3 linked regions of the Anolis sagrei genome follow. The protein of the gene in region 2 interacts with the protein of the main gene of each other region in a biochemical or structural test. Links are inferred from orthologs where the notes say so. Each region holds a gene or a part of one and is shown on either strand. Other genes may lie near its edges. The genes, in order: BCL10, caspase recruitment domain-containing protein 11-like and PRKCQ.

Region 1 (11,195 bases), on a different chromosome or scaffold from region 2:
GACCAAGAGTCATCCTATCTAATGGTGTCCAATTGTACCTGCAGCTTCAGATAAACTGCTGCCTAGCCAGGAACCTAGTCCCTATGGATATGAGAGACCTTACTTGTTTTTTTGTTGTTGTTTTTCATTCGTTCAGTTGCTTCCGACTCTTCGTGACCCCATGGACCAGCCCACACCAGAACTCCCTGTCGGCCATCACCACCCCCAGCTCCTTCAGAGTCAAGCCAGTCACATCAAGGATACCATCTGTCTATCTTACCTTTGGTTGGCCCCTCTTCCTTTTTCCTTCCATTTTCCCCAGCATCGTCTTCTCTAAGCTTTCCTATCTTCTCATGTATCTTCTTATGTAGCCAAAGTACTTCATCTTTGCCTCTAATATCCTTCCCTCCAGTGAGCAGTCGGGCATAATTTCCTGGAGTATGGACTGGATGGATCTTCTCACAGTCCAAGGCACTCCCAGAATTTTCCTCCAACACCACAGTTCAAAAGCGTCTATCCTCCTTCACTCAACCTTCCTTCCTCTCATATCTATAGACATCTCACTGTGAAAACAGGGAGTCAGATTTGTTTGCTTGTTTGTTTACAATATTTATACCCCGCCCTTCTCACCCCAAAGGGGACTCAGAGAGGCTTAACAGAATACACATACGGCAAACATTCAATACTGATTATACAATTAACAAGGACAGATAACACAAACAGAGCTAAAGGCAGTTTTTCCCATCTTATTTCTGGCATCTTGGAGGCTGTGCTCAACTCTGGCCACAGGGGATGCTGTCGCGTCATCTTCCATGTCGAGGAACTTTCCTCTGATCGATGTCTTTTTAGGTAAAGGTAACGGTGCCTGACTCTGGGGGTTGGTGCTCATCTCTATTTCTAAGCTGAAGAGTCGGTGTTTTCCTCCAAGGTTATGTGGCCGGCATGACTGAATGGAGCGCTGTTACTTTCCTGCAGAAACAGTATCTATTGATCTATTCACACTTGCATGTTTTCAAACTGTTAGGTTGGCAGAAGCTGGGGCTAACAGCGGGAGCTCACCTCTCTCCACGGATTTGAACCACCAACCTTTCAGTTACCAAATTCAGCAGCTCAGTGGTTTAACTAGCTGAACCACTAGGGACCCCTTGTCCTTTTAGGGGTGCCCTTTATTACCTCCTCGCCAAAATCGGTACCTATTTTATCTACTCGCATTTCTGCTTTCGACCTGCTAGGTGGAGAGGTGAGCTGGGGCTAACAGTGGGTGCTCACCCCACCCGGGCTTGAACTGCTGACCTTCTGATCGGCAGGATTTTTCTGCCGCAAAGCAGTTTAGCCTGCTGTGCTAAGCTCGGCCCCTGTATTATTTTAATCTAGAATAGCTGGTGTCATAGAATATGAAAGTTTGTTTTTCCTTTGGACATGGAAAATCAATACTATCCCCTAGCTTGTAGAAAGAATATTGTCATTATCCTGTGCTTATAAATGCAGAAGGATGAGACCATACTGCACCTACACAACGTCTATAAAGTAAAGCTGGGTTTGAAATTCTGGGCACCACAGTTGAAGAGAGATATTGACAAACTGGAATGTCCAGAGGAGAGTGACTAAAATGATCAAGGGTCTGGAGAACAAGCCCTATGAGGAGCAGCTTAAAGAGCTGGACATGTTTAGCCTGAAGAAGAGAAGGCTGGGGGGAAGTCATAGGGAGGAGGGAGCAAGCTTGTTTTCTGCTGCCCTGGAGACTAGGACGCGGAACAATGGCTTCAAACTACAAGAAAGGAGATTCCATCTGAACATTAGGAATAACTTCCTGACAGTGAGAGCTGTTCAACAGTGGAACTCTCTGCCCCAGAGTGTGGTAGAGGCTCCTTCTTTGGAAGATTTTAAACAGAGGTTGGATAGCCATCTGTCGGGTGCTTTGAATGCAATTTTCCTGCTTCTTAGCAGGGGGTTGGACTGGATGGCCCATGAGGTCTCTTCCAACTCTATGATTCTATGACTAAAAATGAAAATGAAGTATTTGCTCCTTGTCTCTATAACAGAACTTTTTCAGTGCACCAATTTTTTTTCACTTTCCAAATATCTTCAGATATTTTCTCACAAGAAACTCATTGTCTTCAGAAATAGGATCTGCCACCTCTCTGTATCTGTTTTCCTGCACAGCAGAAAAGAAAAGTGCTACTGAGAAAGGGCTTTTTACGGTTCCCTGGTATCACAAAACGCGTGATATTCCCACTGTCTGCTCTCTTGAAATGAAATCATTGCAATAGCCTCTCTAAACAATTTCAGATTGGGGTGATTATGCTTCTACTGCTCAGAAATGGATGTGGCATTTCTCTCTCTTTCTTGTAGAAGATGAATTTCAAACTGGCAGGTACAATTCTGCAATGGACTTTCATTGCTGGAATGACAAAATAGAATAGGATAAGGTGAATGTAATCCTGGCTCCTAAATATAGTCCTCTGTAAACCGCCAAAATTGGATAAGATAGGTCTCAATCCTTTTTTCCCTCCCAGATCTAGTTTGGGGCAGCACAAAAGGCAGCAGAAGGGAAGAAGGTCTCCTGAAATCGCCGGTGATACACTGTGTTTACGTCTTTTGAATCCAGTATGTCTGGCAATACAAAGGCACAGCAAACATTCAAACCTGTTCCTCAGAAATGATAGAAAAAAATGACAACAGTTTTGCTTTATTTTGGAAATGCAACTTGAGATACATGTGCCTGCCTGGTGGGGGAAGTAAATAAGTAGACCTCAGGTTTCCACGACTGTCCATCATGTACTGCAACTCAGACTGATCTTCCTTCCAGATCTAAAGTGCTTCTACATTGTACAAATAATGTAATTTGTGTTGGGATTATTCTCCTCTTTCTCTAAGCGAGGAAAGCAAGCTGAGTCTCTAAGGCTTCATCAGCACTGCCATATAAAATCCAGATTATCTGCCTTAACAGTGTAGACTCATATAATCAAGTTCAAAGCAGGTAATTTGGATTATCTGATTTGATAATCTGGATTAGATGGCAGTGTAGAAGGGACCTTACTCTCAGCAAGTTCTCCAACGCAGATCTCTCAAATGTTCATCAACTATCAGCAACGACGCCAATGCACCAACAACACAAACCAACCAAACAACATGTTAGCTGTATTGTTGAAGGCTTTCATGGCCAGAATCACTGGGTTGTTGTAGGTTTTTTCGAGCTATATGGCCATGTTCTAGAGGCATTCTCTCCTGATGTTTCGCCTGCATCTATGGCAAGCATCCTCAGAGGTAGGAGTTGAGGGGTGACTACCTCTGAGGATGCTTGCCATAGATACAGGCGAAACGTCAGGAGAGAATGCCTTTAGAACATGGCCATATAGCCCGAAAAAACCTACAACAACCTAACATGTTTGCTATTCTATTTTTATACAAGACCCAGCTAGTCACTTATGGTATCGCATCATCCCTGGCACATTGCCATTACCTCACACTTGCCTTGTCATCCTGATCTAGAAATTAGCTATCTGTATATGCTGTCACATTGGCTTTCCACTAAATCCTGACAGCTTGACATCACTTTAACTGCCATGACTCAATGCTATGAAACCCTGGAATTCTGGTGTTACAAGGTCTTTAGCTTTCTCTGCCAAGGAGTGCTTGTGCCTCACCAAACTACAATTCCCAGGATTCTATAGCATTGAACCATGGCAGTTAAAGTGAAGTCAAAATGCATTAATTCTATAGCGTAGATTCACCTGTAGATTGAAGCCCCATCTACACTCTGATTATAATTTAGCCAGAAACTGGTCAGAATCATAAAATGGAGTTTGAACCACATCGAACTGCAATATGCACAGTAAGTCTACACTGGCCATATAATGCAGTTTCAAACTGCATTGTATGGCAGTATAGACAGGGCCTGAGAAATCTTGAGAGTCCTGGTGTCTCTTCCTCCTTTTTTTGCACTTCTTCGAGAAAAGCCATTGTGACTTTGTTCTTGAGAGGGTGAGGCTAAGCCCTGCTCCCTGGATCACCATCTTAATTTGGAACTTCGTTTTCTATAATCAGAAAATAATTTCCTTACAATAAATGTTGGGTCTCTTGCTTTCCTAAGTGATGAATCTTCAGCATAATTGCATTCCAAAAGTAAAAGGTGCTTTTCCAAGGTCATCATATTTTTTGTTGTTCATTCGTTCAGTTGCTTCCGACTCTTCGTGACCTCATGGACCAGCCCATGCCAGAGCTCCCTGTCGGTCATCACCACCCCCAGCTCCTTCAAGGTCAAGCCAGTCACTTCAAGGTCCTAATATTATAGAGGACTAAATTACTTGAGGACTACTACAAAGAAGTGAACAAAAAGAGAGTTGCTTATTACTGTTTCATTTCACTTGATGTGCCTGCTTTGCATCATCCACTTGGAGATTCCAGTCCCTGTATGAAGGAAGTTGTATGACATGATCGGTAGTTTGAGCAATGCTAATTCAGATCCCATGTCCCTGTATAGACAATTACAGCCACTGATCATTCAGATCTCTTCTGTGTCTTTGATCACTGTTGGCTCTGGATGCTGTGAGATCTGCGTGGGCATGCTCAAAGCTTTTTGAAAAGAAATGTAATCTAAACATCTTAAGTGCTGTAAAGGACCATCTGTGCTTCCCCCTTCTCATTCAAGAAGGAAGAGGAAGATAAATGGCCCTGGGACATAGGATGAATCACAAGAATTTAATCATACCAGTTTTTTGGAATTTTCCCAGGAATATTTCTTTTAAAAGCTGGATGTTTCCAAGATTTCCAGCTCACCGAACTAATAGCGTGTCAGGTTCCCTGTTGACTTATGGTGATCTCTTGAACTACATAGGATTTTCTTAGGCAAGAAAGGCTCAGGGCCCTTTCACACAGCTCTATATCCCAGAATATCAAGGCAGAAAATCCCACAATATACTGGAAGCCAAACCAAATCATTACTGTCCTTCTCCTTTCTTATAGGTGGCCTTAGGTTCCTCCTCTTCATCTTCAGGTAAGAAGTTGACCTTGTTTGCGTTTCTGGGAGCCTTGTCACCATTATCTTCATATATATTGGACCATTTGATCGCCATATCCAGCTCCGGAGGCGGCTTGGTTTCTCTGACGCTATAACTCTCAGGGTGAGGCACGACACTGGTAGTCCAGGCTTTGAACTCCTTAGGAGGCTGTCGAGGTAAAAGGATAAGGTTAAAACATGCCATCTACAAGGACAAGAACAAAGCAGATGCAAAAATCATGAGATATAATTTAAAAAAATATTGAACTCACTTCATATTACTGAAAAGACACATGGTCTTGTTTGATCTGAGAAAAGTCATTAGTGACCTTTCTAGGGCCCTTCCACACAACCCTATATATCCCAGGACATCAAGGCAGAAAATCCCACAATGTCTGCTTTGAACTGGGTTATCTGAGTCCACAGATAATGTGGGATTTCCTGCCTTGATATTCTGGGATATAGGGCTGGGTGGAAGGGCCCTTAGAGGTGGTTTGTGCAGTTCCTCCCTCTGAATTATAGCTTACGTATCTGTTCTTTTGTTGGCAGCCTCCCATCCAAGAACAAACCAGAGCTAATCTTGCTTAGCTTCCATTGCATGATGTAACAAAATTTGAAAAAAAAATCTGTTCTTGATTTGAAAGTGTTATTTCCTGTTTAATTATTTGATCTTTTCTTTGAAAATAGTTGTTATACTCCAGAAACTTCGTTTTTGTGGCTGCCACAAATTATGTTGACTCTATGAGCTATTCATTGAAAAACTATAGCAAAATGTGCTGTAGGATGTCTTGCAAAAACAGATTTTTAGCAGTTTAACAAACTTTTCTCGTGTTTTTAATGATAAAACCAATTAGGAAATGACATTTGTAACCCAGGAATCAAAATCGAATGACATAATATAATCAGAAACATGTTCATGCCTTTTGGGTATTTAGGTTAGGAAAATAATAGTAAGGCCCCTTCTACACTGCCATATCATCCAGAATGCTTGCTTTGAATTGGATTATAAGGCAGTGTAGACTCAGGCCCCTTCCACACAGCTGCATAAATCCCACATTATCTGCTTTGAATTGGATTATATGGCAGTGTGGACCCAGATAACCCAGTTCAAAGCAGATATTGTGGAGTGTCTGCCTTGATATTCTGGGTTATATGGCTGTGTGGAAGAGCCCTCATATAATCTTTGATAATTTGGATTACATGGCAGTGTAGAAGGGGTCTAAGTGAAAAAGTTACAATTTGTTCTGTTCTCTAGCTTTTAAGCCTAGGGATATATAAATAGTTTGAATGAGGAATCAACTCACTCCAGAATTAGGGCCCTTCCACACAGCTGAATAAAATCCCACACTGTCTGCTTTCAAGTGGAATATATGGCAGTGGGGACCCAGGGCCCTTCCACACAGCCATATAACCCAGAATATCAAGGCAAATAATCCACACTATCTGCTTTGAACTGGATTATCTGAGTCCACACAGCCATATAATCCAGTTCAATGTGGATTTTATACAGCTGCGTGGAAGGGGCCTCAGGTAACCCAGTTCAAAGCAGATATTGTGAGATTTTATTCAGATGTGTGGAAGGGCCTTCATATTCTAGGTTATCTGGGTGTGTAGAAGGGCCCTAAGTCTCCATTCTCACCGAGTTATCTCTGCTGAAAAGATCTCGAGATAAATACATATTTCAAATCAATGTTTAGGGTTATTTGGGTGCAACCTGGCCAGGGCAAGCGAGCATCTCTTCCTTAGGAGTAGAGCCCCATGAGCTTTGGACTTCAGCTCCCAGAATTCCCGGCACTCAGTCGCGCTCACTGAGGCTTCTGGGAGTTGAAGTCAAAAACCTGGCGGAACCAAGGTTGGGCGCCGCTGTTGCCGGGAGGGGGCGTGGCGCGGAAGCACAGGAGGTGTGGCCTCGCGAGGCACGGCGCCGGAAGTCCTGGTGGCACTCCGGGAGAGTCCGGCTTCGGCCCGGCCTTGGGTGCTCTCCTCTCAGGCTCCCTGGCTGCTTCCGGTCCTGGCCTTTCCCGGCTGGCTTGGCCCTCGAAGGCGCGCTGGGCGTTCTCCGCCATGGCGGGCTCCGCGGGGGCGCTGCCGGAGAGGCCTCTCACCGACGACGAGATGGCGGAGGTGAAGAAGGAAGTAAGTGGGCAAACGAGGGAAACTAGGACTGCAGCTACACTGCCATACAGTCCGGATTATCTGCTTTGAACGGGGTTATAGGAACCTCCACTGTCATATAAGGCCGTTCAACGCAGATCACCTGGATTTTATATGGCAGCGAAGAAGGCTTGGTGACAAGGCATTGGCCCCTTCTACACTGTCATATAAAATCCGGATTATCTGCTTTAAACCGGATTATATTGCAGTGTGGACTCGGCGCCCTTCTCCACTGCCATGTAGTCCACATTATCTGCTTTGAACTGGATTATATGAATCCACACTGACATATAATCCGGTTCAACGCAGACAATATGGATTTTATATTAATTTAATATATTTAATTAATATATATTAATTTAATAGCGGATTAATTTAGTGTAATTAGATGATAATGTATTAGGGATATGTTGTTTTTTGTAGTTGTAGTTTATTGTGAAATGTGTTTTTATATGTTGTACGCCGCCGCGAGTCGCCCTAGGGCTGAGAGCGGCGGTTAACAAATGCAGCAAATAAATAAATAAATAAATAAATATGGCAGTGTAGAAGGGGGCTAGGTGACAAGGCATTGGCCCCTTCAACACTGCCATATGAAATCGAGATTTAAACTCAATTATATCGCAGTGTAGACTCAGCCCCCTTTTCCACTATCATATAATCCACATTCTCTACTTTGAACTGGATTATAGGATGCCCCTTCTCACACTGCCATATAGTAAACATTACCAAAGCAGGTAATCCACAAAATTTGCTTTGCTCTGGATTATCTGAGTCTACGCTGCCATATAATCCAGTTCAGAGCGAATCATCTGGATTTTATATGTCAGCGTAGAAGGGGACTCAAACAATACAGACAGCATGTAGTTTCAAATGTATTTAAATATTTGTTGTTAGTCGCCTGGAGACCCTGTATTGAGAGAAAGGTGGGACAAAAATAGAGTATGTAAATAAATATATATATAAGCAGGCTTCTACAATTGGACTTTTGTATCCACATATTCTGCACCCATTAATTACATCTCCCACAGTTCAAAAGTATTTGTCAATCTATATCATAGAATAATAATAATAAACAACTTTATTTGTACCCCGCTACCATCTCCCCAAGGGACTCAGTGCGGCTTACATGAGGCCGAGCCCACCATACATCAATACAAGCAAAACAACCACAATACAAAGCAATTAAAATAAATCATAGAGTTGGAATAGACCTCATGGGCCATCCAGTCCAACCTCCTGCCAAGAAGGAAAATCGCATTCAAAGCACCCCTGACAAATAATAATAATAATAATAATAATAATAATAACTTTATTTGTACCCCGCTACCATCTCCCCAAGGGACTCAGTGCGGCTTACATGAGGCCAAGTCCACAATACATCAATAAAACAATACAATACAATTCATATAAATACATAAAAAATAGACAATAAACAATCAACAGTGACATACAAGCATTTGTATGTCACAAATCCCACCAGCCTCTGCTTAAAAGCCTCCAAAGAAGGAACCTCCACCACAAATTAGGGACTTTCATATAGATGTTGTCAATCTATATAAGGGACACCATTTTATTATACATGTTATATATAGTGGGCTTGAGTCCTCAAACTGCAGCAGATAAAAAGAGCTCACTGTACTGGAAGTGAACATAATGGGTGGAGGGAGGGGACTGTGAGCAGGAAACCTCACCCATTGGCCACTTCACTGATGGTTTTCAGCAAAATAGCATTGAATTTTCATTTTAGCCACTAGCATTGACAACAGTTAGTCTCTAGAGTTGGAGAGCAACATAGTCATTTGGAGAATGAGGTTGCTATTTGGTAAACCAAGTGGTAGTAAAACTCAAAAGCCATGTCTGGATTGCTGCCTACACTTAGCTCCCTTAACAGTGAACACAAGCTAAGAGCCCTTCCACACAGCCCTATATCTCAGAATATCGAGGCAGGAAATTCCACATTATCTGAGTGTGGACTCAGATAATCCATTTCAAAGCAGATATTGTGGGATTTTCCGCCTTAATATTTTGTGGTATAGGGCTGTGTGGAAGGGCCCAGAATCTACACTGCCATATGATTCAGTTCAAATCAGATAATCTGGATGCAGAAACTGGATTATATGGCATTGTAGATGAGGCCACAGTCACCACACCTAGCAGCAATAGCCTCTGGAAATCACAGACAAGGAAGGGAAACCTTCATTCAGAATCAAGGAAAATCCTTGGCGTGAGGTTTGCTAGTGATGTAGAACAGCACGAAAAGAGGAAGGAAGGTCAATCAAATGGCATGCGTTCTGCCCCAGTTTGCAAATTTTTTATGTAGGAGTCTCTCCTGGAGTGTTTAGAGGAATTCCCCTCTTTTGTAGCCGATCTTGATACACGCATGAGTCAACGGAGGTAACTCTTTCCTTCTTGCACTTTGTCCAGGTTTGTTTTTTCCTGTTCTAAACTCCAATGGTTGAAGGGTAATAAAGTTAATGCTACAACTTTTCTGAGAAATTTCCTACATTCAATGATGTGATGATATTCAGACTATCTCTTTATGGCTCAGTAAACGGAGTGGTCTTATTATCACTTAAAAGCCAATATAAGTACAGGCAGACCTCAAATTACCAACATCCGACTTAAGAACAAGGGTGAGACAACAGAAAGTGAGAGAAATCTGCTCATAGGAAGGGAAATTCACTCATGAAAAATTATGGGGAGAAGGGGTCTCCACTGCAGCTTTCTCACCAATCCTTGTTTCCACACAAAGCCATTTTTTTTTCAAAATCCAATGATCACAGGGGCAGAAAGTGAAATGAAATCTTCTGAACAGGGGCACAGATAGCAAAACAACCAAATTAGTTTAACTTTAATCCATTTTAAATGTGTAAGTTTCACGATCTTGGAGCGATTGAGCAGTGTAGCTTTGCACACAAACACAGGCTTTTTTCTATAATTATTGCAATTAATTTGTGTGATGCTTTTCCACACAGATGCATCCAAAGCAGCTCTCCACACAGGAACACAACCACATATCAATTGCATCACGTATATGTATATGTATATGTGTGCGTGTATATAGTGAGAGAGAGAGTGTATACACTCTGTGTGTGTTTATAGATACATATATACAACAACTTCATTTTGGAATATTATAGTTTTATGTGAAGGGAAGAGCTTAAAATTATTTCAAAGTGATTTGTTTACTCAAGTTCAGTGTACTGTTTGGAGAACTGTTGTGCACCTTCAAGTTGTTTCTGACATATGTCAACCTTAAGGTGAACTTACTATGTGGTGTTTTTTTGTTGCAAGATTTGTTCAGGGGAGGTTTACTCTATTAGCCTAAGACAGTGGTTCTCAACCTGTGGGTCCTCAAATGTTTTGGTTTATAACTCCCAGAAATCCCAGCCAGTTTACCAGCTGTTATGATTTCTGGAAGTTGAAGGCCAAAACATCTGGGGATCCACAGGTTGAGAACCACTGGGCTAAGAGAATGTGACTTGTCAATGGTCAACCTATGGGTTTCCATAACAGAGAGAGAATTTGAACCCTAGTATCCAGAGCCATAGTCCAGTGCTGAAACCTCTCTCTACACCGTGCTGGGTCTCCTTCTGGAGAATACCTCCTTGCATTCTTCTAGTGAAGGCTTGTTCTGTGCAATTTTTCCTTCAACACATAAGGTAACAGTGACTTCATTGAAAATCCATTTTGCTGTGATGCTGCACTTATAAAATATTTTCCAAAGAGAAGCTCATCAGACAGACTTGGAAAAGTTGTAGAAAAATCACAAGACATTTCTGTTCCTTAAGATTGATAGTGTATGGCTGTAATTCTTGATCCTTTGGCTGTTGTAATCCAATAGATTTTTTATTGAATTCTTCTGGTTTATCAAATCTTAAAATGACTAGAACTCATTTTGAATGGTAATTGAAGAAAGTCAATTAATTTGTGGGGCCTTTTTTTTGCCCAACTTCACATGGGTTAGAAATTATTTTATTTCGATACATGAAAGGCTTCAAACCAAGATTTACAGTTATTAATGCACATGTTTTCAGTTCATCTGAGAAAAGCTTGTACTGAC
Region 2 (10,672 bases):
GTGCAGAGAGAGACAGTTTTGAAGAGAGAAGCGGAGAGAGACAGATTTTGGAGTATACTCTTGCTCCATGAGCTGCTGAAGATTGCTCAGGTAATGCCCAGGGAGATGGTTGAGCCTGGGACTTTTGGTTACTGTTGCATTTTTGTTCAGGTTTGAGCTAAGCAAGTGCAGAGAGAGACAGTTTTGAAGATATAAGAAAAGAGAGACAGATTTTGGAGTATACTCTTGCTTCATGAGCTGCTGAAGATTGGTCAGGTAATGCCCGGGGAAATGGCTGAGCCTGGGACTTTTGCTTACCGTTGCATTTTTGTTCAGGTTTGATGCAGAGAGACAGTTTTAAAGAGAGACGCAGAGAGAGACAGATTTTAGAGTATACTCTTGCTGCTGAAGGAGTTTATTCACATGGACAGAGAAAGACCATTTTAAATCTCTCCTAAAAGCACAGTATGTGAGTTGGTGCAAGAGATCACATTGTGCATGTGTTGTTCTGAACTAATAAGAGTAAACTACTTGCTCTTTATTGTTCACCTGAGTGGCATATTTTCTTGATCTGGCAAGGCAGTGTGTGGACTGACCAGATGTGAACTACACGTGGTTTATTTTACATTATGCCACAGTTTTCCAAGGTCAAAAAGTGTTAATGTCTCACCAAACTCCAATTCCCTGAATCGAGCCATGGCCATTAAAGTGGTTTCAAACTGAATTTATTCTACAATCATAGAATCTTAGAATCAAAGAGTTGGAAGAGACCTCATGGGCCATCCAGTCCAACCCCATTCTGCCAAGAAGCAGGAATATTGCATTCAAATCACTCCTGACAGATGGCCATCCAGCCTCATTGATCAGTGACCTTCCCGCAAGCTCCTTACCCATGCCGGTTATTTGCACAAGGAGGAATTATGCAAAGTAGTAAACATAAACAAAATAAATTATGCAAATATTTAGTAGGAAATCAGGGGTAAAATAAGCTTCCTCTTTTGCCGGGTTATGGAACAGATCTTTTTTTAGCACAGAATTTGGATTTAATTTTCTGTAACATTTGCATGTACAGAATTTTGCAGAATTGTTGGTTTTACGAGTGAATAAACATATACAGCTTCCCAGTATGCGCATGACCCTATGACCCTATATATGCACATCATTCAGAGCCTTGTTAGTTTTATGTGTATGAGTTTCGAAGCCATTAACACAGTTTTTATGGGCACCGATATGTGCAAATAATTTCCCATTGCCCTGCATGGGCCTTTTCTCCTTCCGACAACTTCAAAATGGGGCGGTATAATGTATTTTATTTGGATACGATACATAATCTGCTAGATTGTCCGTTACATTGTCTGCAGTAAGGGAAAATACCTGAAGCAAAGCCGCTCAGAATTGGGAGTCACCCACCCAGAGCAGGAAGGATGAAGTGAGATATTTGCTGCCTGGTATGGTTACATGGGCCAGGTTTAATACGGCGAGATTTGTGGTAAGAACTGCTCAACTTAGGCAGATGCTTGCGGTGCAATTGTTGACGGAAGGATTTTTCTCCGATTCCGTGGATTGAGCGTGCTTGATCTGTTTGGCTCTGACTGCTTTTCCCTTTTTGCCTTTGGGGCTATAACCTGCATTTGTTTGCCAAATAAACAGGATTGATTGAAACTAAAGCTCTGTGTGACCATGATCTTCTAATTCTCTAGCATCTGGCATTAACAGGAATTCATGCAAAACATCTCTGCAAGGCAAAATAGAGAGGGTGGTTGAATAAGGAAGAAAAACCAGGTGAACTTCCACATCTGTACAATAATAGTAATTAGGGTTGTGTATTCAGGGTAAACCTTGACCTGTTTTGTATCCTGGCTTTCAGTGGAGGTTCTGATCCATTTTTTGGGAGCCTCTAGAACAGTGTTTCTCAACCTGGGGGTTGGGACCCTTGGAGGGGTCGGGAGAGGGTGTCAGAGGGGTCACCAAAGACCACCAGAAAACACAGTATTTTCTACAACTCCCAAAGGTCAAGGTCTATTTTCCCCAAACTCCACCAGTGTTTACATTTGGGCATATTGAGAATTCGTGCCAAGTTTGGTCCAGATCTATCATTGTTTGAGTCCACAGTGCTCTCTGGATGTAGATGAACTACAACTCCCAAAACTCAAGGTCAGTGCTCACCAAACCCTTGCAGTATTTTCTGTTGGTTATGGGAGTTCTGTGTGCCAAGTTTGATTCAATTCCATCGTTGGAGGAGTTCAGAATGCTCTTTGATTGTAGGTGAACTATAAATCCCAGCAACTACAACTCCCACAGGACAAAATCAATACCCTTCCCCAATCCCACCAGTATCCAAATCTGGGTGTATTGGGTATATGTGCCAAATTTGGTCCAGTATATGAAAATAAATCCTGTATATCAGATATTTGCATTACTATTCATAACAACAGCAAAATGACAGTTATGAAGTAGCAACAAAACTAATTTTATGGTTGGGGTCACCATAACATGAGAAGCGTATTAAGGGGTAATGGCATTAGGAAGGTTGAGAACCACTGCTCTAGAAATTGGGTGGGCAGATATCTGTTTTCACTCTGGGGTCCAAAAGATCTGTTTTATATCAGCACATTATGGGGGGGGGGGGAGCTTCCCATAATGGGGAAGGGGGCTTCCCAGGCTCCCTTTCCTGTCATATTAGGCATTTAAGCTCTACTCTAGAGGAGAGGAAAGGCACTTAGATGCCGGTAGGCGTTTGCTTTGAGGCTTCTTACTTGTTTCTTACTCTAGCGGAGGTGCTCGGCTGCAGGCACCTCCATACTTTCTGGGCCTGCATGCCACACACACTTTCCAAGGCAAGGAGGCAAGTTTACTCTAGAAGAGTCACTCGGTTGCAGACAGACACACACACACTATCTGGGCCTGCACACCACACACATTTTCCAAGGCAAGGGGGCAAGTTTACTCCAGAAGAGTCACTCGGTTGCAGACAGACACACACACTTTCTGTGCCAGCACACCACACACATTTTCCAAGGCAAGGGGGCAAGTTTACTCCAGAGGAGGCGCTCGGTTGCAGACACACACACTCACACTTTCTGGACCTGCACACCACACACATTTTCCAAGGCAAGGAGGCAAGTTTACTCCAGAGGAGGCGCTCGGTTGCAGACACACACACACACACTTTCTGGACCTGCACACCACACACATTTTCCAAGGCAAGGAGGCAAGTTTACTCCAGAGGAGGCACTCGGTTGCAGACATGCACACACACACTTTCTGGACCTGCACACCACACACATTTTCCAAGGCAAGGAGGCAAGTTTACTCCAGAGGAGGCGCTCAGTTGCAGACATGCATACACACACCTTCTGGGCCTGCACACCACACACATTTTCCAAGGTAAGGAGGCAAGTTTACTTCAGAGGAGGCGCTCGGTTACAGACACACACACACACACACTTTCTGGGCCTGCACACCACACACACTTTCCAAGGCAAGGAGGCAAGTGTACTCCAGAGGAGTCACTCGGTTGCAGACACACACACACACTTTCTGGGCCTGCACACCACACACACTTTCCAAGGCAAGGAGGCAAGTGTACTCCAGAGGAGTCACTCGGTTGCAGACACACACACACACTTTCTGGGCCTGCACACCACACACATTTTCCAAGGCAAGGAGGCAAGTTTACTCCAGAGGAGGTGCTTGGTTGCAGACACACACACACACTTTCTGAGTGTGCACACCACACACATTTTCCAAGGCTAAAACCATTATAAAAGATGACATGTTATGTAACGACCAGCAGGCTGAGGTGAGTTCTAGTCTCTAAACAAGGTTTAACATTTCTAGGCAAGAATATAAGTTGGGTATTTTAGTCTTCCCCCTCTCCATACGTCACAATACATAGGTGGGTTTTCAGCAGTTTTTTGAAAGCAAAGAGAGGGGGAGCAGTTTTAAATTCTTTTGGGAGGGAGTTCCAGAGGCAGGGAGCAATCATGGAGAAGGCCCCGTCTCTCGTTCCCACCAGCTGTGCTTGAGATGGGGGTGGGAATGAGAGTAGGGCCTACTCCATGGATCGCACGGCGTGGGCCAGTTTGCATACAGAGATGCAATTGTCATGATGTAATGATAGAATCAATTAAGAATTGACATCTACAACCCAGTAATAAAAATTGTATTGCACAGTGTAATAGCTTTTCCCATCTATAATGTGGAATATGTATGTTATGTGATGGTTGGTGCCAATGCCTGTTAGGGCTACAACTCCCAGAGCCTCAGTGGCCATGCTGGCTGGGACATCCTGGGAACCAAAGTCCAAAAAGTAACATTCTGGGTGATAGTGATTTTCTCCCTCAAATAAAGGACCTTTTCCAAGCTCTGGCTTTTGAAACAGATGTAATAAATTCACTGTGCAGAATTGATAATGTGAATGTAATATGATGTGTGGGAATGAATGGAAGAATGGAAGATGAATGTATGGATGGAGCTAATAATTTTGGAAACACCAGCATAATATTAAGGCCTGCAGTGACTATACCTGCTGACCTGGACTGTAATTAAAAGTTGCTAATGAGAACTTCAAAGTAAACTCTGATAAAGACTGTGACAACGGTTCTTTCAAGTTAAGGAAATGTTTGCAACATTCCTTATGTTAAGAAGGAAGTCAACACAAGCCTTGTGTTTGTTAACACCAATCAAGAAGATCAACATCTGGCCAGGAAACTGAGATGGAGCCAGGATGGAAGAAGTATATCATTAATTAACAAGTTTGGGATTACATCAACAGAATATTCCTGTAAAAGACTCAGTCTAATAATGTTCAAAGTGTGGCAGACCTGAGGAGTCTGTTCCACCCGCCTCTCTGGTCCATGGGAAGGAGAAAGATGGTGTATTTGGAGAGTGGCAGGTTTGCAAGGGAGCAGTCTGGTCACTTTGGCCTTCTTTCTCAAGGGAAGAGGAAGAAGTGCACTTTTGGAGTCTTGGATTTTGTGCGGGGAGTCAGGTTCTGTTGTATGGAAAACAGAGATCTGGTCCTTGGCATTGTTCTTAGGGAAAGAAGTTTTGGCATTTCGGCAATTTGAAGTTTTGCCGTTATGGAACTGTGCATTGACAGGCTCAGGAAAGCAGGGTCTGGACCAACAGGTGCTTCTCCCAGGAGGGCAAATGTTTGGGTGCATGAGGATGAATGCATGTACATGTGTGTGAATGTTGAGTGAAAATGTAATTCTCCTTTGTTTGTTTGTAATTGTAAATCCAATGTAGTTGCATAGAATCTGTATGTCTGTATGTTCAATGTCATACTTTATCTAGAAGTTTTTCTGTAATCTGATGTATCCTCTCACACTGGAAATGGCAATAAAAAGAACCAATGCTTTAAAGCAGTGTTTCTCAACCTGGGGGTCGGGACCCCTGAGGGGGTCGCGAAGGGGTGTCAGAGGGGTCGCCAAAGACCATCAGAAAACACAGTATTTTCTGATGGGTCATAGGGATTCCATGTTGGAAGTTTGAGCCTATTCTATCGTTGGTGAAGTTCAGAACATTCTTTGATTGTAGTGAACTATAAATCCCAGCAACTACAACTCCCAAAAGTCAAGGTCTATTTCTCCCAAAGTCCACTAGTGTTCTATGTCTATTTTCCCCAGGTTCCACCAGTGTTAACATTTGCGCATATTGAGTATTTGTGCCAAGTTTGGCCCAGATCCACCATTGCGTGAGTCCACAGTGCTCTCTGGATATAGGTGAACTACAACTCCCAAACTCAAGGTCAATGCCCACCAAACCCTTCAAGTGTTTTCCGTTGGTCATGGGAGTTCTGTGTGGCAAATTAGGTTCAAATCCATTGCTGGTGGAGTTCAGAATACTCTTTGATTATAGGTGAACTATAAATCCCAGACACTACAACTCCCAAATTACAAAATCAATCCTCCCTCAACTCCACTAGCATTTACACGTGGGTGCATTGGGTATTTGTGCCCAGTTTGGTCCAGTGAATGAAAATACATCTTGCATATCTGATATTTACATTATGATTTATAAAAATAGTTAAATGAGTGTTATGAAGTAGCAACAAAAACAATGTTATGGTTGGGGGTCACCACAACATGAGGGACTGTATTAAGGGGTCACGGGATTAGGAAGGTTGAGAACCACTGCTTTAAAGTCATTGAAAAGTCATTCATGACACAGATAGGACTTCCTCTTCATCTCTGATGGTTGTTTTCCTTTCTCTTCATCCATTCTAGGAAGCGAGCTGACTTTCCATCTCCTGGAGAAAGCTTCTGTTTTGGTTGTCCGCCATGGTGAAGAGCCTTACAGAAAGCCACTCTCAGCCGCTGAGCCGAAAAGCGAAAGGGAAGTGAAGCAGGCCGTGGAGGCCTCTTTCCTGCTAAATATAGGCTTGAGGTTGAAAAAGGGCAGCGTTGAGTGAGTGGGTGCTTCCGGACACATGTTTGCGGGAGCTGTGTTTTGAAGGGGTGCAAACGAAAGCAAAGAAAATGAGGAAATCCACCGCGCTGCTGTGTCAGGTGCTGGCTTGAAGAACATCAAAATCAGAGTCTTCTTCTCCTTGCATTGCCACAGACCACAGATAAGCGTCTCTGCTTCTCAAGAGGTTCTGAGGTAGGCCCATAAGTTCATTCTTTATGAATTTCAGGAACGTCAGAAAGGGAGTTCAGCTGTCCCAGCTCCCGTCACTCACCCGTTTCTCGTTTTCTTATAACGTTCTTCTCTCTAGGTTCTTGAAGGTTTTTTCAGGCTATAGGGCCATGTTCTAGAGGCATTTCTCCTGACGTTTCGCCTGCATCTATGGCAAGCATCCTCAGAGATAGTGAGGTCTGTTCTTCTCTCTCTTTCTGTCTCTCTCTTGAAGATTCTGCAGTAGCTTGCCTTGGTTTGAACAGAAAGACAGAAAGTCCCTCATTCAAATACTTTTTTAGGAGAGCAACTGCAGTCCTAACTTCCCTCAATGCTACTCTTGGTGGAGCTGGAAACTGTGCAGAACCTCAGCTTCATGGGGTGGGGTGTCTTCTTGGTCCAAAGAACTGTGCCCTTTGCTCATTTTTGGGCTTCAGCTTCCAGCACTCTTCCATATTGGTTATACTACTACAGCAGATGAAAGCCAAAGTCCAATACTTTGAGGAACTGAGAGATTAAAGCAACTCAGACTGAATCTCCACTGTCATATAATATATTTTGAACTGCACTATATGTGACCTCATCCCACCAGTGCTGGGAAAGCAGAGGGAACTATCTTACCCCGTTTCCTCCCAACTTTCCCCATCTTCTGGAATGATTAGCCATCCCACATCCTTTCCACATCAAGGTCCGTCTTTCCCCCGCTTTCTGTTGCTTTCTCCTGTATGGAGAACTACAAGAGAGGAGATTCCATCTGAACATGAGGAAGAACTTCCTGACTGTGAGAGCCATTCAGCAGTGGAACTCTCTGCCCCGGAGTGTGGTGGAGGCTCCTTCTTTGGAAGCTTTTAAACAGAGGCTGGATGGCCATCTGTCAGGGGTGATTTGAATGCAATATTCCTGCTTCTTGGCAGAATGGGGTTGGACTGGATGGCCCATGAGGTCTCTTCCAACTCTTTGATTCTATGATTCTATGAGTGAGATAACACCAACTCCTTTTATTTATTTGTCGTGTCAGGGCAACCAGTCAATTATATTACATTTCTAACAGAACAAAGCAAACAAACAGGCAAAATACAAAATTTGTGAGTTTGGTAGTTGATTAAATGTCCTTTGACCAGTAGCTGGCCACTTGGAGTGCTTCTGGTGTTGTGCAAGGAGGTCCTCCATTGTGCATGTGGCAGGGCTCAGGGCGCATTGCAGCAGGTGGTCAGTGGTTTGCTCTTCTTCGCACTCGCATGTCGTGGATTCCACTTTGTAGCCCCATTTCTTGAGGTTGGCTCTGCATCTCGTGGTGCCAGAGCGCAGTCTGTTCAGCGCCTTCCAAGTCGCCCAGTCTTCTGTGTGCCCAGGGGGGAGTCTCTCATTTGGTATCAGCCATTGGTTGAGGTTCTGGGTTTGAGCCTGCCACTTTTGGACTCTCACTTGCTGAGGTGTTCCAGCGAGTGTCTCTGTAGATCTTAGAAAACTATTTCTAGATTTAAGTCGTTGACATGCTGGCTGATACCCAAACAAGGGATGAGCTGGAGATGCCTCTGCCTTGGTCCTTTCACTATTGGCTGCTACTTCCCGGCGGATGTCAGGTGGTGCAATACCGGCGAAGCAGTGTAATTTCTCCAGTGGTGTAGGGCGCAGACACTCCGTGATAATGTGGCATGTCTCATTAAGAGCCACATCCACTGTTTTAGTGTGGTGAGATGTGTTCCACACTGGGAATGCGTACTCAGCAGCAGAGTAGCATAGCGCTTCAGTATGTCTGGTTGTGATCCCCAGGTTGTGCCAGTCAGCTTTCATATGATATTGTTTCTAGCGCCCACTTTTTGCTTGATGTTCAGGCAGTGCTTCTTGTAGGTCAGAGCATGGTCCAGAGTGACTCCCAGGTATTTGGGTGTGCTGCAATGCTCCAGTGGGATTCCTTCCCAGGTGATCATCCTCAGAGCTCGGGATGCTTCTCTGTTCTTGAGATGAAAGGCACATGTCTGTGTTTTAGATGGATTAGGGATCAGCTGGTTTTCCCTGTAATAGGCAGTAAGAGCACCTAGAGCAGTGTTTCTCAACCTGGGGGTCGGGACCCGGGGGGGGTCACGAGGGGGTATCAGAGGGGACCCCAAAGACCGTCAGAATATACAATATTTTCTGTTGGTCATGGGGGTTTTGTGTGGGAAGTTTGACCCAATTCTATCATTGGTGGAGTTCAGAATGATCTTTGATTTTAGGTGAACTATAAATCCCAACAACTACAACTCCCAAATGTGAAGGTCTATTTTCCCCAAACTCCATCAGAGTTCACATTCGGGCATTTTGGATATTTGTGCCAAGTTTGGTCCAGATCCATCATTGTTTGAGTCCACAGTGCTCTCTGGATGTAGGTGAACTACAACTCCAAAACTCAAGGTCAATGCCCACCAAGCCGTTCTAGCATTTTCTGTTGGTCTTGGGAGTTCTTTATGGCCAGGTCTGATTCAATTCCTTCCTTGGTGTTCAGAATGCTCTTTGATTGTATGCAAACTATAAATCCTAGCAACTACAACTCCCAAATGATAACATCAGTCTCCCCCAACCCCACCAGTATTCAAATTTGGGCGTATCGGGTATTTGTGCCAAATTTGGTCCGGTGAATGAAAATCCATCCTGCATATCAGATATTTACATTACGATTCATAACAGTAGCGAAACTACAATTATGAAGTAGCAACAAAAATAATGTTATGGTTGGGGGTCACCACAACATAAGAAACTGTATTAAGGGGTCGTGGCATTAGGAAGGTTGAGAACCACTGACCTAGAGGTTCGGAGAGCTTCTGTTCTACCATCTCAAAGCTCCCTGCTTGAGCGGTAATGGCACGATCATCAGCATAGATGAAACTCTCTGTCCCTTCTGGCAGTGGCTGGTCACTCCTGAAGATGGATTTAGGGGTCTGTTTCCATGTGTTTTGGAAACAGAGCTCCACAGAGTCCCATCAGAAGTGCCCTTACGTCATGTGATGGCCTCTGTGGGATTCTGTTTCCAAAGCGCATGGAAACTTAGCCCTAAACCCATGGGATGAAGTCCATGCCCAGTGTAGACCAGGCATGAGCAAACTTCAGCCCTCCAGGTGTTTTGGATTCCAACTCCCACAATTCCTAACAGCTGGTAGGAAAACTGCGGGAAAACATGCAGGTCAAGATTAGGGCTCCATAATCACCTACCCTGGAGGATTATCCTACTCGGGCAACGAGGGATCGCCTAAGTAAGTAAGTACCACCAGAGTCCTGCCCATAACATTGTCTGGGAACATCAACCACAGCATCACTCAAACCCATTACTGCTCAAGCATGGAGCTTTGAGTTGGTAGAACAGAAGCTTTCCGAAGCTCTAGGTGCTCTTACTGCCTATTACAGGGAAAACCAGCTGATCCCCAACCCATCTAAAACACAGACATGTGCCTTTCATCTCAAGAACAGAGAAGCATCCCAAGCTCTGAGGATTATTACCTGGGAAGGAATCCCACTGGAGCATTGCAGCGCACCCAAATACCTCGGAGTCACTCTGGACCGTGCACTGACCTACAAGAAGCACTGCCTGAACATCAAGCAAAAAGTGGGTGCTAGAAACAATATCATACGAAAGCTGACTGGCACAACCTGGGGGTCACAACCAGACACAGTGAAGACATCTGCCCTTGCGCTGTGCTACTCTGCTGCTGAGTCTGCATGCCCAGTGTGGAACACATCTCACCACACTAAAACAGTGGATGTGGCTCTTAATGAGACATGCCGCATTATCACGGAGTGTCTGCGCCCTACACCACTGGAGAAATTACACTGCTTAGCCAGTATTGCACCACCTGACATCCGCTGGGAAGTAGCAGCCAATAGTGAAAGGACCAAGGCAGAGACATCTCCAGCTCATCCCCTGTTTGGGTATCAGCCAGCACGCCAACGACTTAAATCTAGACATAGTTTTCTAAGATCTACAGAGACACTCGCTGGAACACCTCAGCAAGCGAGAGTCCAAAAGTGGCAGGCCCAAACCCAGCACCTCAACCAATGGCTGATACCCAATGAGAGGCTCCCTCCTGGGCACACA
Region 3 (10,922 bases), on a different chromosome or scaffold from region 2:
CCTGAGAGGGACTCAAGGTGGCTCACAACATACAATATTGAACTAAAAACATGGTTTGAATTTAGAAACATAATTAACATAATTAAAATACATTTCAATGAATCGCGTCATCCAGAGTCAGAGTCCAAGGCCATTCCATAGTTATATTGCACATTTTTCATATTAACCTTTATGCATTGCTCTATTTTTTAAAAGCCTCCTCCCAGAGCCAAGTTTTGACTCTCCTTCTGAACACTAGGAGGGTGGGAGCTGCCCTGATATTGCTAGGGAGGGGTTTACACAGCTGAGGGGCCACCACTGAGAAGGCCCTATCTCTCGTCTCTACCACCCGTGCTTGAGAATAAGGTGGAAGCGAGAGCAGGGCGTCCCCAGGTGGTTACTGGAAAAGAGGGAGATGGCATTCCAGAAAACAAGACTCAAAATATCACACACCATTCACATGATTAGGATTAGCGGCAACTTACAATCATAGAATCATAGAATCAAAGAGTTGGAAGAGAACTCATGGGCCATCCAGTCCAACCCCATTCTGCCAAGAAGCAGGAATATTGCATTCAAATCACCCCTGACAGATGGCCATCCAGCCTCTGTTTAAAAGCTTCCAAAGAAGGAGCCTCCACCACACTCCGGGGCAGAGAGTTCCACTGCTGAACGGCTCTCACAGTCAGGAAGTTCTTCCTCATGTTCAGATGGAATCTCCTTTCTTGTAGTTCGAAGCCATTGTTCCGCGTCCTAGTCTCCAGGGAAGCAAAAAACAAGCTTGCTCCCTCCTCCCTGTGGCTTCCTCTCACATATTTATACTGGCTATCATATCCCCTCTCAGCCTTCTCTTCTTCAGGCTAAACATGCCCAGCTCCTTAAGCCACTCCTCATAGGGCTTGTTCTCCAGACCCTTGATCATTTTAGTCGCCCTCCTCTGGACACATTCCAGCTTGTCAATATCTGTCTTGAATTGTGGTGCCCAGAATTGGACACAATATTCCAGGTGTGGTCTAACCAAAGCGGAATAGAGGGGTAGCGTTACTTCCCTAGATCTAGACACTATGCTCCTATTGATGCAGGCCAAAATCCCATTGGCTTTTTTTGCCGCCACATCACATTGTTGGCTCATGTTTAACTTCCTAGCATTGGTACCATCATTTTCGTACCACCGTTAGCATAGTGTAATGGAGTGTGCCAGCGGTGTGAGTTCCAGTGGCCGGGTGAGAGTAATAACTGCATTACTGGTATGTCACTTTTCTTGTGGCATACCACAAGACCAGAGTGCTAAATGGAAAGGCTTTCTGAGACACTTTCCAATTCCGTAAAGTAAAAAAATTTAACAAGAAAAGAAAAATCCTTCCTTTAATTGTGAACTGAGAGTGCGAGAAGAGGACAATCCTGCCTCCTGATGTCACTGGTATGCCACCATAGAAATGCCAGGCAGGTTGTGATAACATAGCACAATCCTCAGATTATTGATTATTACTGCACACCAAATACCTGGGAGTCACTCTGGACCGTGCTTTTACCTGCAAGAAGCACTGCCTGAACATCAAGCAAAAAGTGGGTGCTAGAAAAAATATCATACGAAAGCTGCCTGGCACAACCTGGGGATCACAACCAGGCACAGTGAAGACATCTGCCCTTGTGCTATGCTACTCTGCTGCTGAGTATGCATACCCAGTGTGGAACACATCTCACCACGCTAAAACAGTGCATGTGGCTCTTAATGAGACATGCCACATTATCATGGGGTGTCTGCGCCCTACACCACTGGAGAAATTACACTGTCTAGCCGGTATCGCACCACCTGATATCCGCCGGGAAGTAGCAGCCAATAGTGAAAGGACCATGGCAGTGACATCTCCAGCTCATCCCCTGTTTGGGTATCAGCCAGCACGTCAATGACTTAAATCAAGAAATAGTTTTCTAAGATCTACAGAGACACTCGCTGGAACACCCCAGCAAGCGAGAGTCCAAAAGTGGCAGGCTCAAACCCAGAACCTCAATCAATGGCTGATACCAAATGAGAGACTCCCCCCTGGGCACACAGAAAACTGGGCGACTTGGAAGGCGCTGAACAGACTGTGCTCTGGCACCGCAAGATGCAGAGCCAACCTTAAGAAATGGGTCTACAAAGTGGAATCCACAACATGCGAGTGTGGAGAAGAGCAAACCACTGACCACCTGCTGCCATGCAACCTGAGCCCTGCTACATGCACAATGGAGGACCTTCCTGCGGCAACACCAGAGGCACTCCAAGTGGCCAGATACTGGTCAAAGGACATTTAATCAACTACCAAGCTTGCAAATTCTGTGTTTTGTCTATTTGTTTGTTTGTTTTTGTTAAAAATGTAATACAAATGTCTAGTTGCGGATGACACAATAAATAAATAAGCTATTGATGAGTTTTGCTCATTAATAGCTGGAAAGGGCTTTGTTGCAGGCAGGTGATGGACCAGCAGTGGATATCTCATAGTATTGTACCAAAGGGACAGCCACCAAAAATGACCGTCCTGCTTCTATGCCAGTTTGCATAGGGGTCGCCAAACTTTTTAAACAAAGGGCCAGGTCACAGTCCCTCAAACTGTTGGAGGGCCGGATTATAATTTGAAAAAAAAGAAGAAGAATGAATTGCTATACATATTGCACATATCTTATTTCTAGTGCAAAAAACACTTAAAAACAATTCCATAATTTAAATGAAGAATTTCCCATTGAAATTAGTATTTCAATGGGAAGTGTGAACCAGCTTTTGGCTGATGAGATAGTATTGTTGTTGTTGTTGTTGTTGTTGTTGTTGTTGTGTGCTTTCAAGTGGTTTCAGACTTAGGTTGACCCTGAGCGAGGACCGGGTAAACGACCTTGGAGGGCCATATTTGGCCTCCGGGTCTTCGTTTGAGGACCCCTGCTCTATACAATAGAGTTTTCAATCAGGGAAGCTACCTCCCTGAGTTTGTATGATCTGAGCAAGGCCGTCGAGAATGGAGTTACTCTCATTCATAGGCTTGCGTATGAAGCCCCCGGTGGGACAATGGGTTAAACCCCTATGTTGGCAGGACTATTTGACCGACAGGTTGGTGGTAAGTGGGGTAAGCTCCCTTTGTCAGCTCCAGCTACCCATACGGGGTCATGAGAGAAGCCTCCCACAGGATGGTAATGTCATGTTATCATGTCCCGCAGTTGATGGTGGTTGGTGGTGGCCGACCTTGCAGTTGGTGATAGGATTAATGTAAATCTTAGTTCTTAAGGGCTGAGTAATTTGTAAGTAACACTTTACAGGTAAAAGCAATTAAGAGTGGAGGCATGCAAGGCATAGGTTGCAGCTGGGTGTTACTGTATTTAAGGAGCTGTTTGTCTTATTTTGGTGGTAGATGCTGCTGGTTTGCCCCCAGGTCTTTGGATTTTTAGTATTCTGACCTGTCTCCTGAACTCTTGGAACCCTAGAACTTTGAATCTCTTGACTGGCTTTGGACTATGGTATAGATTCTTGATCCCTGGACTTTGCTCATTGAACTCTCGGCATTTGACCACTGGACTGGACCAATTGACTACGGTTTAGCATTTGCTATCAGTTTTTGTTTTATATTCTGTGGCTGAGTTCTATCTTTATGTTTTATATTTTGGACTATTAAACCAGCCAGAAAGTAAGTGCTGTTTTAATTAAACTGTTTGATACAAACTGGATGTTTGTTTGATTAATCTCTACCTGGGTACAGGCAGAGCCTTGGCATCATGACAGGTAAAACATCAATCATCTAGGCGTCCCCTGGGCAACGTCCTTGCAGATGGCCGATTCTCTCACACCAGAAGCAACTTGCAGTTTCTCAAGTTGCTTCTGACATGAAAAAATAAGGTTGCATTAAAATCCTTCATTCAGAGGGCCACAATAAATGGAAATCAACTTATAATAGTTATCGACAATAACTTTGGATGCATACATTGGGTTACATCTGATGGAAGAGCCCACACAACACCCAGCCTTGCCTGAATATAACCACACATGCTTACCACCCTCTGTGGCTTCTTTGACCATCACGGCGCAGTATGGATCAACCACATCTCCTTGGGAAGGCAGGTAGGGACCGCTGTCAAAGTTGGAGAGGCCGATCCGGAGAAAGGGCGACATGGTGGGCACTGCATGGGCCAGAAAGCAGACATGGATGGGATAGATTTTCAAAGCCGCCTTTGCCTTGCTGACTTTATCGCTCATGCCAAGCCGAGGCATTTAATCCAAATGCCCCTTATCCATCCCAACAGCATTTCCCTTTCTCTGATCCCCAGTTGGCTGAGTTAGCAAAAGTTTGCCACGCAACCAGGCATAGCACAAGACCGCCGCTCGATCCGTTGTCTGCTCAGCTGCATTGCCGGAGGCTCCAATGTTGGTCACCAGGCAATGGCCAGGAATAACAGCCGATTGATTTTGTCCATGCAAAAAAAAAAAAAAAAAAAAAATCCTGTGCAGAAATAGCTCTACAAAAAAGTTCAAAATTACATATTGGATGCTGAAGAGAAAAAAAAGGAGAGTATGTGCTCATTGACCCTTGCAAGGGTTAATGCAAAGTCACAAGTTGCCGCTGGCCATCGCCAGGGAAACAGACAGATCCCATGCCTTTTGCCAAATGACACTGCAAAGTGACTGCTTGGTAGACTGCACGGTTCAACATGATGCTGTCAAGTGTTAAATGCGCTATTTATATACAGGAGGGAAATGAAGCTGACAGAGCCTTTGGGAAATCGCCCCTCTGTAGCAGAAAATAAGATGGCACAGTAACAAAAGAATGGCCAGCCTTTGAATCCTTTGCAGAGGCACCAAAATGATTTATACAGAGGCAGGTCAGGTTGGTGCAACAGAAAAGAGCAGAACGCTACAGCACTTTAAGCACTCGCAACGTTTTTCTGCAACCAACTACGAAATGAATGAGAGCAGCAAGATCAGAAATGAAACACTTTTAAAGCAGCATGACCAACTTTTCACTTATTTATTTTGGACATGAGTTCTTTCATCATTTATTTATTGGATTTATAGGATGCCTTTCTCCCAGGGCAGGACCTAAGCAGGCTGAGTGAGACTCAAGTCCCCCTAATGAACCAAAATATATTCTCCATCTAGAGCAGTGTTTCTCAACCTGGGGGTCGGGACCCCTGGGGTGATCGGGAGAGGGTGTCAGAAGGGTCATCAAAGACCATTAGAAAACACAGTATTTTCTGTTGGTTATGGGGGTTCAATTCTCTTGTTGGTGGGGTTCAGAATGCTCTTTGATTGAAGGTGAACTATAAATCCCAGCAACTACAATTCCCAAATGTCAATGTCTGTTTTCCTCAAGCTCCACCAGTATTCACATTTGAGCATATTGAGTGTGCTGGTACAGCTCTACCAGGAGCTCCAATTCTGTTTGCTTTGCATTAAATGTTTGTTTGCAATCCCAGCCTTGGGATTTTGCAGCAGGGTGGCTTCCTGTTATAGGCTGCCACCTGTCTATTATAGTTAGGTTCCCTGGTCCCACCCCATTTTGGGTTTTTGGAGGGAATAGGAGCCCTTTTGAGTCAGTTCTCACAGAGAAGCTTTCGCACAGGACATAAAACGAAGAACTCCTGTGGAAAGCTTCATCTTCTACGGCTTATCCGGGGAGATATACAGCCTACAGCCTGACTGGAGTTATACAGCCAAGATTGCAGAGCCAATAGACTGTTAAGAATGCTTTAAAGTACCTGTTTGTTTTCATCAATAAAGAACTTTGTTGGATTTACTTTAAGCCTCTACAGAACTTTGTTTTGGGGGAATCTAAGGTCCTTTAATCTGAGGCAGCCCCGGCGTCCCGTTGGGCACACAGAATTTATGTCCTGTCTACAGTCTAATGCACAGGCCCAGTGTGTGACAGCACATTGAGGATTTGTGCCAAGTTTGGTCCACCATGCTCTCTGGATGTAGGTGAACTACAACTCCCAAATTCAAGGTCAATGCCCACCAAAATCTTCCAGTATTTTCTGTTGGTCATGGCAGTTCTGTATGCCAAGTTTGGTTCAATTCCATCATTGGTGGAGTTAGGAATTGCAGGAGTTGAAGTCCAAAACACTTGGAGGGCCAAAGTTTGCCCATGCCTGATGTAAATGCATCTTATGCCAGACAGGCTACTAACATTTCCACGTCACCTCTTTTTCCAGAACTTAAAGGCTACTCCTGCCAGCGCTTTCCACCTGCAAGTGCCATCCATCCAGAAAGCAAACTGTTTGTCCTCTAATTACAAAACAGCCTCTGCTAGGATGGAAAGTGTCCGGTTGCACAGGAGGAGGATTCTCACATTGCCCCATTAGCATTTGGTGCTGCTCGCTTCAACTCTCCTGAAATGGCCTGTGACTCATTGGCTAGGTTTCACTTACAGAAACCCTCTCTTAAAAATACAAGACAGATCACGGCTCAGGCTTCTCCACTTGTTGTAGGCGTGCAAAGTGAAACTGAAGCCTCTTTCATGGGCTGCTTCCTTGTGAAAACAGAACAGAATGTGGAGGAAGTTCTCTTTTGGGACTACTAACAAAAACCAGAATTCCCCAACCATGCAGAGTTGGGGATTATGGGGACGTGGACCAAAAAACCCTCCCTAAATCTGGGTTGCTGTAAGTTTTCCGGGCTGTATGGCCATGTTCCAGAAGCATTCCCTCGTGACGTTTCGCCTGCATCTATGGCAGGCATCCTCAGAGGTCGCGGTGTCAAACTGCCTTCATTACGCATTGTAAATACACTCCAAGGAGATGTAAATAATACACTCAGACCTTCCCCGCCCCAGGGATGATCTCTGGCTGGAAATATATATTATATGGTTAGGTTGGATTCATATCACTGCATTAGATGGATCCACCACTGAGATGTTCCAACTGAATGATATGGCAGTGTAGATCCAGCCTCTAGTGATTGTAATGTGTAGTATTTCTATAGCCTTCCTTTATATGTGAGGAAAGAAGCCATTGCAAATTACCCTCCTTTGTGTATATTATATTACTATATCTATTTAAGAATCCAAATCTGTCTTAAGCTCAATAATAATGATGATGGTGATGCTATAATAATAATAATAATAATAATTGGAAAAGCTGACATGATATGAGGATTCAAAGATCGAACTTCAAAGACTTTGAAACAAGCCAATAAAGGTGGTCCCAGTGGTGATAGCACACTGGGTACAGAGCTTAAAGACCTTGGCCTGCACTTAAACACAATCGGCACTGACAAAATTACCATCTGCCAGCTGCAGAAGGCCACCTTACTGGGATCTGCACGCATTATTCACTGATACATCACACAGTACTAGACACTTGGGAAGTGTCCGACGTGTGATCCAATACAACAGTCAGCAGAGTGATATTGCCTGCTGTGGATTCATCTTGTTGTGTTTATTATAATAATAATAATAATAATAATAATAATAATAATAATAATAATAACTTTTCCTCTCTTGATCAAGACTCCAGTCTGCTGAATTTTGGATGCAACTGGGCTCAAACACTTTCTTCTCTCGTTTGCTGTGAGTTTTCTGGGCTGTATGGCTATGTTCCAGAAGCATTCTCTCCCGACGTTTTGCCTGCATCTATGGCAGGCATCTTCAGAGGTTGTGAGGTCCGAGGATGCCTGCCATAGATGCAGGTGAAACATCAGGAGACGTTTCCCTAAATCCTTTAAGAAAACCCTTCCTAAAATTATAAAAGCAAATAAAGAACAACACTCAAACACAAGGGAACTCCAGACAAGAAACAATCAGGGACAGCTAATCACCTCTCAACAAAGGATTCTCCTAGGCACGAACAAGCTACACCTAAAAACTGTCCGGCCATCAAATGTTAATCAAGTGGCCAATTGAAACATTCACACCTAACTCCAATGGACAAGAGTTCTTTCTCCCACCCTGGATATTATTCCACAGATATATAAACCCAATTTTCCTAGTTCCCAACAGACCTCACAATCTCTGAGGATGCCTGCCATAGATGCAGGCAAAACATCAGGAGATAATGTTTCTGGAACATGGCCATATAGCTCAAAAAACCTACAACAACCCTCCCTAAATCCTATTTTAAAAACCCACCTTGTTTTCTTGAGCTTTAGGATCTCACTTTCCTTGGGTTTTTTGGTGCTGGATCTACACTGTCATATAATGTAGCTTGAAACTTCCAGCAGGCGTTCAATAAAGAATTGCACAGGAAGACCGAGAGATTCCCTCAGAGACCATATTAATCAAATCTGTGAAATAACCAAATGTACTAAAATTAAGCCCACCCTTCCCAGTAGGCTCAGGCAAAAGCAAGCCACTTCAACATCTCCTAGCTAGTTTGCTCTTCCTCATTAATAACTTTTGCCATTATGTTCATGTTGATGTGGGATGGTTGGACTTTGGGGATGAGAGGCACCTCTTCCTCTTCAACCCACCAGCGCATCTGCCTGTGCCGATAGTTGTGAACACAACATTGGAGTGAGTACAAATACGCCTGTGGTTGGGGCAGGAAGCTCGCCCGCCTGTGTGTGATGTTTCAGGAAATCGAACTGTTTCAATGAAACAAGAAGAAATGCCAAAACCAGAGCGTGAATGTTTGATACCGTTTTTGTTTGTGAAATATGAAGGGCGAAGGGAACTGTGATAGAATGGCGATCTGGCTTCTTTGTCATGGTCCCAACTATACAAGGTGGAAACCCATCTCCAAGAAATGATGCAATAAACCAAGAGCAGAATGCTAAATGGAAAAGCCACATTGAATCCTAGGGAAATTGAATGGTTTGGAATAGTTTGGGGGTACTCCTGTCCTAAACTGGAATAGTTTGGGGGTACTCCTGTCCTAAACTTATTATTATTATTATTATTATTATTATTATTATTATTATTATTAAAACAGTGCAGTGTGATGCACATCTCTGCATCGACTCCAATGAGAGTAACACCTAGGATGCATCTGCACTGCATAATTAAAGCAGTTTCATTATGCCAGAATACACAGAGAAGCCACTGAAATCCACAAACATGTAGACAATTTCAACAGAAAGGAGGAAACCATGAAAATGAACAAAATCTGGCTACCGTTTTTTTTAAAAAAACCTCCAAAATCAGGACAGTAAATAAAGAGTAAGACTCTGAAAACAAGGGAATTCCAGACTTGAAACAATCAAGGCCAGCTAACAACTCCCAACAAAGGATTCTCCCAGGCAGGAAGCAGCCAGGCCTTGAACTGCAAGGCCATTAGATTGCTTCTATGATTTTTATATGTATTTATGATATAATTTAATTGCTTTTAATTGAGAGATGTATGTATATATGTGTGTGTGTGTGTGTGTGTCGGTTCTGTATGCCTCCCTGAGTCGCCTTTGGGCTGAAATGGGCAGGATAAAAACGATGTAAATAAATAAATAAATGCTAATCAAGGTGATTAATTACAACACTAACACTTGCCTCCAACAGACAAGATTTAGTTGTCTGTTTAGTTTCCAATATACCTTACAACCTCTGAGAATGCCTGCCATAGATGTAGGCGAAACATCAGGAGAGAATGCTTCTAGAACATGCCCATACAGCCCGAAAAATCTACAACAACCCAGTGATTCTAGCCATGAAAACCTTCAACAATACAATAAGGATGTATTGTTTGCTTATGAAGATTCAAACCTGACGAAAGAAGATCTCTTCTCTTTGAGAAGAACTTTGATGAAGGAGATCCTGTCATCCCTTAGTATAATGGGCACAATGAACAAGCCTCTTATTAGGAAGCTTCTCCAAAAGTTCAGTTGAAAACTTCCCTTCTTGTAACTCCAACTCACTATTTTTTGTAATGCCCTTAAGCATTGTTATATTATGTGCAAGTAAAAGTAAGATACAGTTTAGAGCTTCCAGTTATGAGCATCCTCTGAATATTTTCTGGAAAGAGAGAGACCAAAATAAATTCCGGTTGAGTATACCTTATCCAAAATGCTTGGGGACAGAAGTGTTTTGGAGTTTGGATTTTTGGGGGATTTTGAAGCAGAACCCAGATCTAAACTCCAATTTCATTTATGTGTCATATACATCTTATACATATAGACCAAAGCAATTTTATGCACAACATTTTAAATAACTTTGTGCACGAAATAGTTTGTGTACATTGAATCATCAGAAATCAAAGGTGTCAGAATCTCAACCATCCATGTGGACAATTTTGGAATTCCAGATATTGCTTTACATATGAACAAAATACTAATAAAATCTGAAATATGGAACACTTCCAGTCCCAAGCTTTTTTGATAAGAGATGTTCAACTTATATCCTCCTTAAACTACAGCCTTTGGAGATAAAGTTCAAAAATCATTAAACAAACCTGAGAAATTGGTGGAATTTCACTATTCCTGTAACCCAAGGTGGGACTGAGGCATGAAAAAGAGGTGAAATAGAAAATGCTTGCCTGCCTTCTCAGTTTAAGGTGTGTTGAACCCAAAGCTGTCTGAGCAATTTGGGCACCTGAGGCCAAAACAACCACAAAGACCTCTCCCTGCCAATTAAAAAAAAAGTTTAATAATTAACAATTTATTTTCCTTTTTACAGCTCTAAAAACTGCCTGCCTGCGGTGGAATTTCTGCTTTGCCTAATGGCCCAACATATTATGGGAAAACTTTGGCTAAACAAAGAAATTGGAAATTGTTTCCCTTCAAGTCAGAGAGGTTGTTGCAAAACAGTCAATGCAATACGCGGTAATATGCACACCATAATTTTAAAAAATCTCTAAAATGGCCTACGGTCTCAGAAGTTAGGCCAACTTACCAGGGAAAACATCAATCTAATGTATTCCTGCCCCTTTTAAAAATGGAACCAACAGATATTTGCTCTACTGAATGCAGATGGAGAACCTTTTTTATGACATGGCTTCAAACTACAGGAAAGGAGATTCCACCTGAACATTAGGAAGAATTTCCTAACTGTGAGAGCTGTTCA

What was found.
Region 1: the proteins of caspase recruitment domain-containing protein 11-like (region 2) and BCL10 form a complex in vitro, tested with the Homo sapiens proteins (2 studies listed by BioGRID, with this or other methods). The link is inferred for Anolis sagrei from reciprocal best matches to the Homo sapiens genes CARD11 and BCL10.
Region 3: of the proteins of caspase recruitment domain-containing protein 11-like (region 2) and PRKCQ, one has a biochemical effect on the other in vitro, tested with the Homo sapiens proteins (2 studies listed by BioGRID). The link is inferred for Anolis sagrei from reciprocal best matches to the Homo sapiens genes CARD11 and PRKCQ.

What each region holds. Positions count from the first base shown.
Region 1 is NC_090024.1:154,598,738-154,609,932, forward strand, and holds the start of BCL10 (B-cell lymphoma/leukemia 10), read left to right. Parts: upstream 1-6,883; 5' UTR 6,884-7,042; coding exon 7,043-7,114; intron 7,115-11,195. UniProt on the Homo sapiens protein: Plays a key role in both adaptive and innate immune signaling by bridging CARD domain-containing proteins to immune activation.
Region 2 is NC_090034.1:7,868,042-7,878,713, forward strand, and holds the start of caspase recruitment domain-containing protein 11-like, read left to right. Parts: upstream 1-6,507; 5' UTR 6,508-6,588; intron 6,589-10,672. UniProt on the Homo sapiens protein: Adapter protein that plays a key role in adaptive immune response by transducing the activation of NF-kappa-B downstream of T-cell receptor (TCR) and B-cell receptor (BCR) engagement.
Region 3 is NC_090025.1:189,797,169-189,808,090, reverse strand, and holds the start of PRKCQ (protein kinase C theta type), read right to left. Parts: upstream 4,432-10,922; 5' UTR 4,211-4,431; coding exon 3,994-4,210; intron 1-3,993. UniProt on the Homo sapiens protein: Calcium-independent, phospholipid- and diacylglycerol (DAG)-dependent serine/threonine-protein kinase that mediates non-redundant functions in T-cell receptor (TCR) signaling, including T-cells activation, proliferation, differentiation and survival, by mediating activation of multiple transcription factors such as NF-kappa-B, JUN, NFATC1 and NFATC2.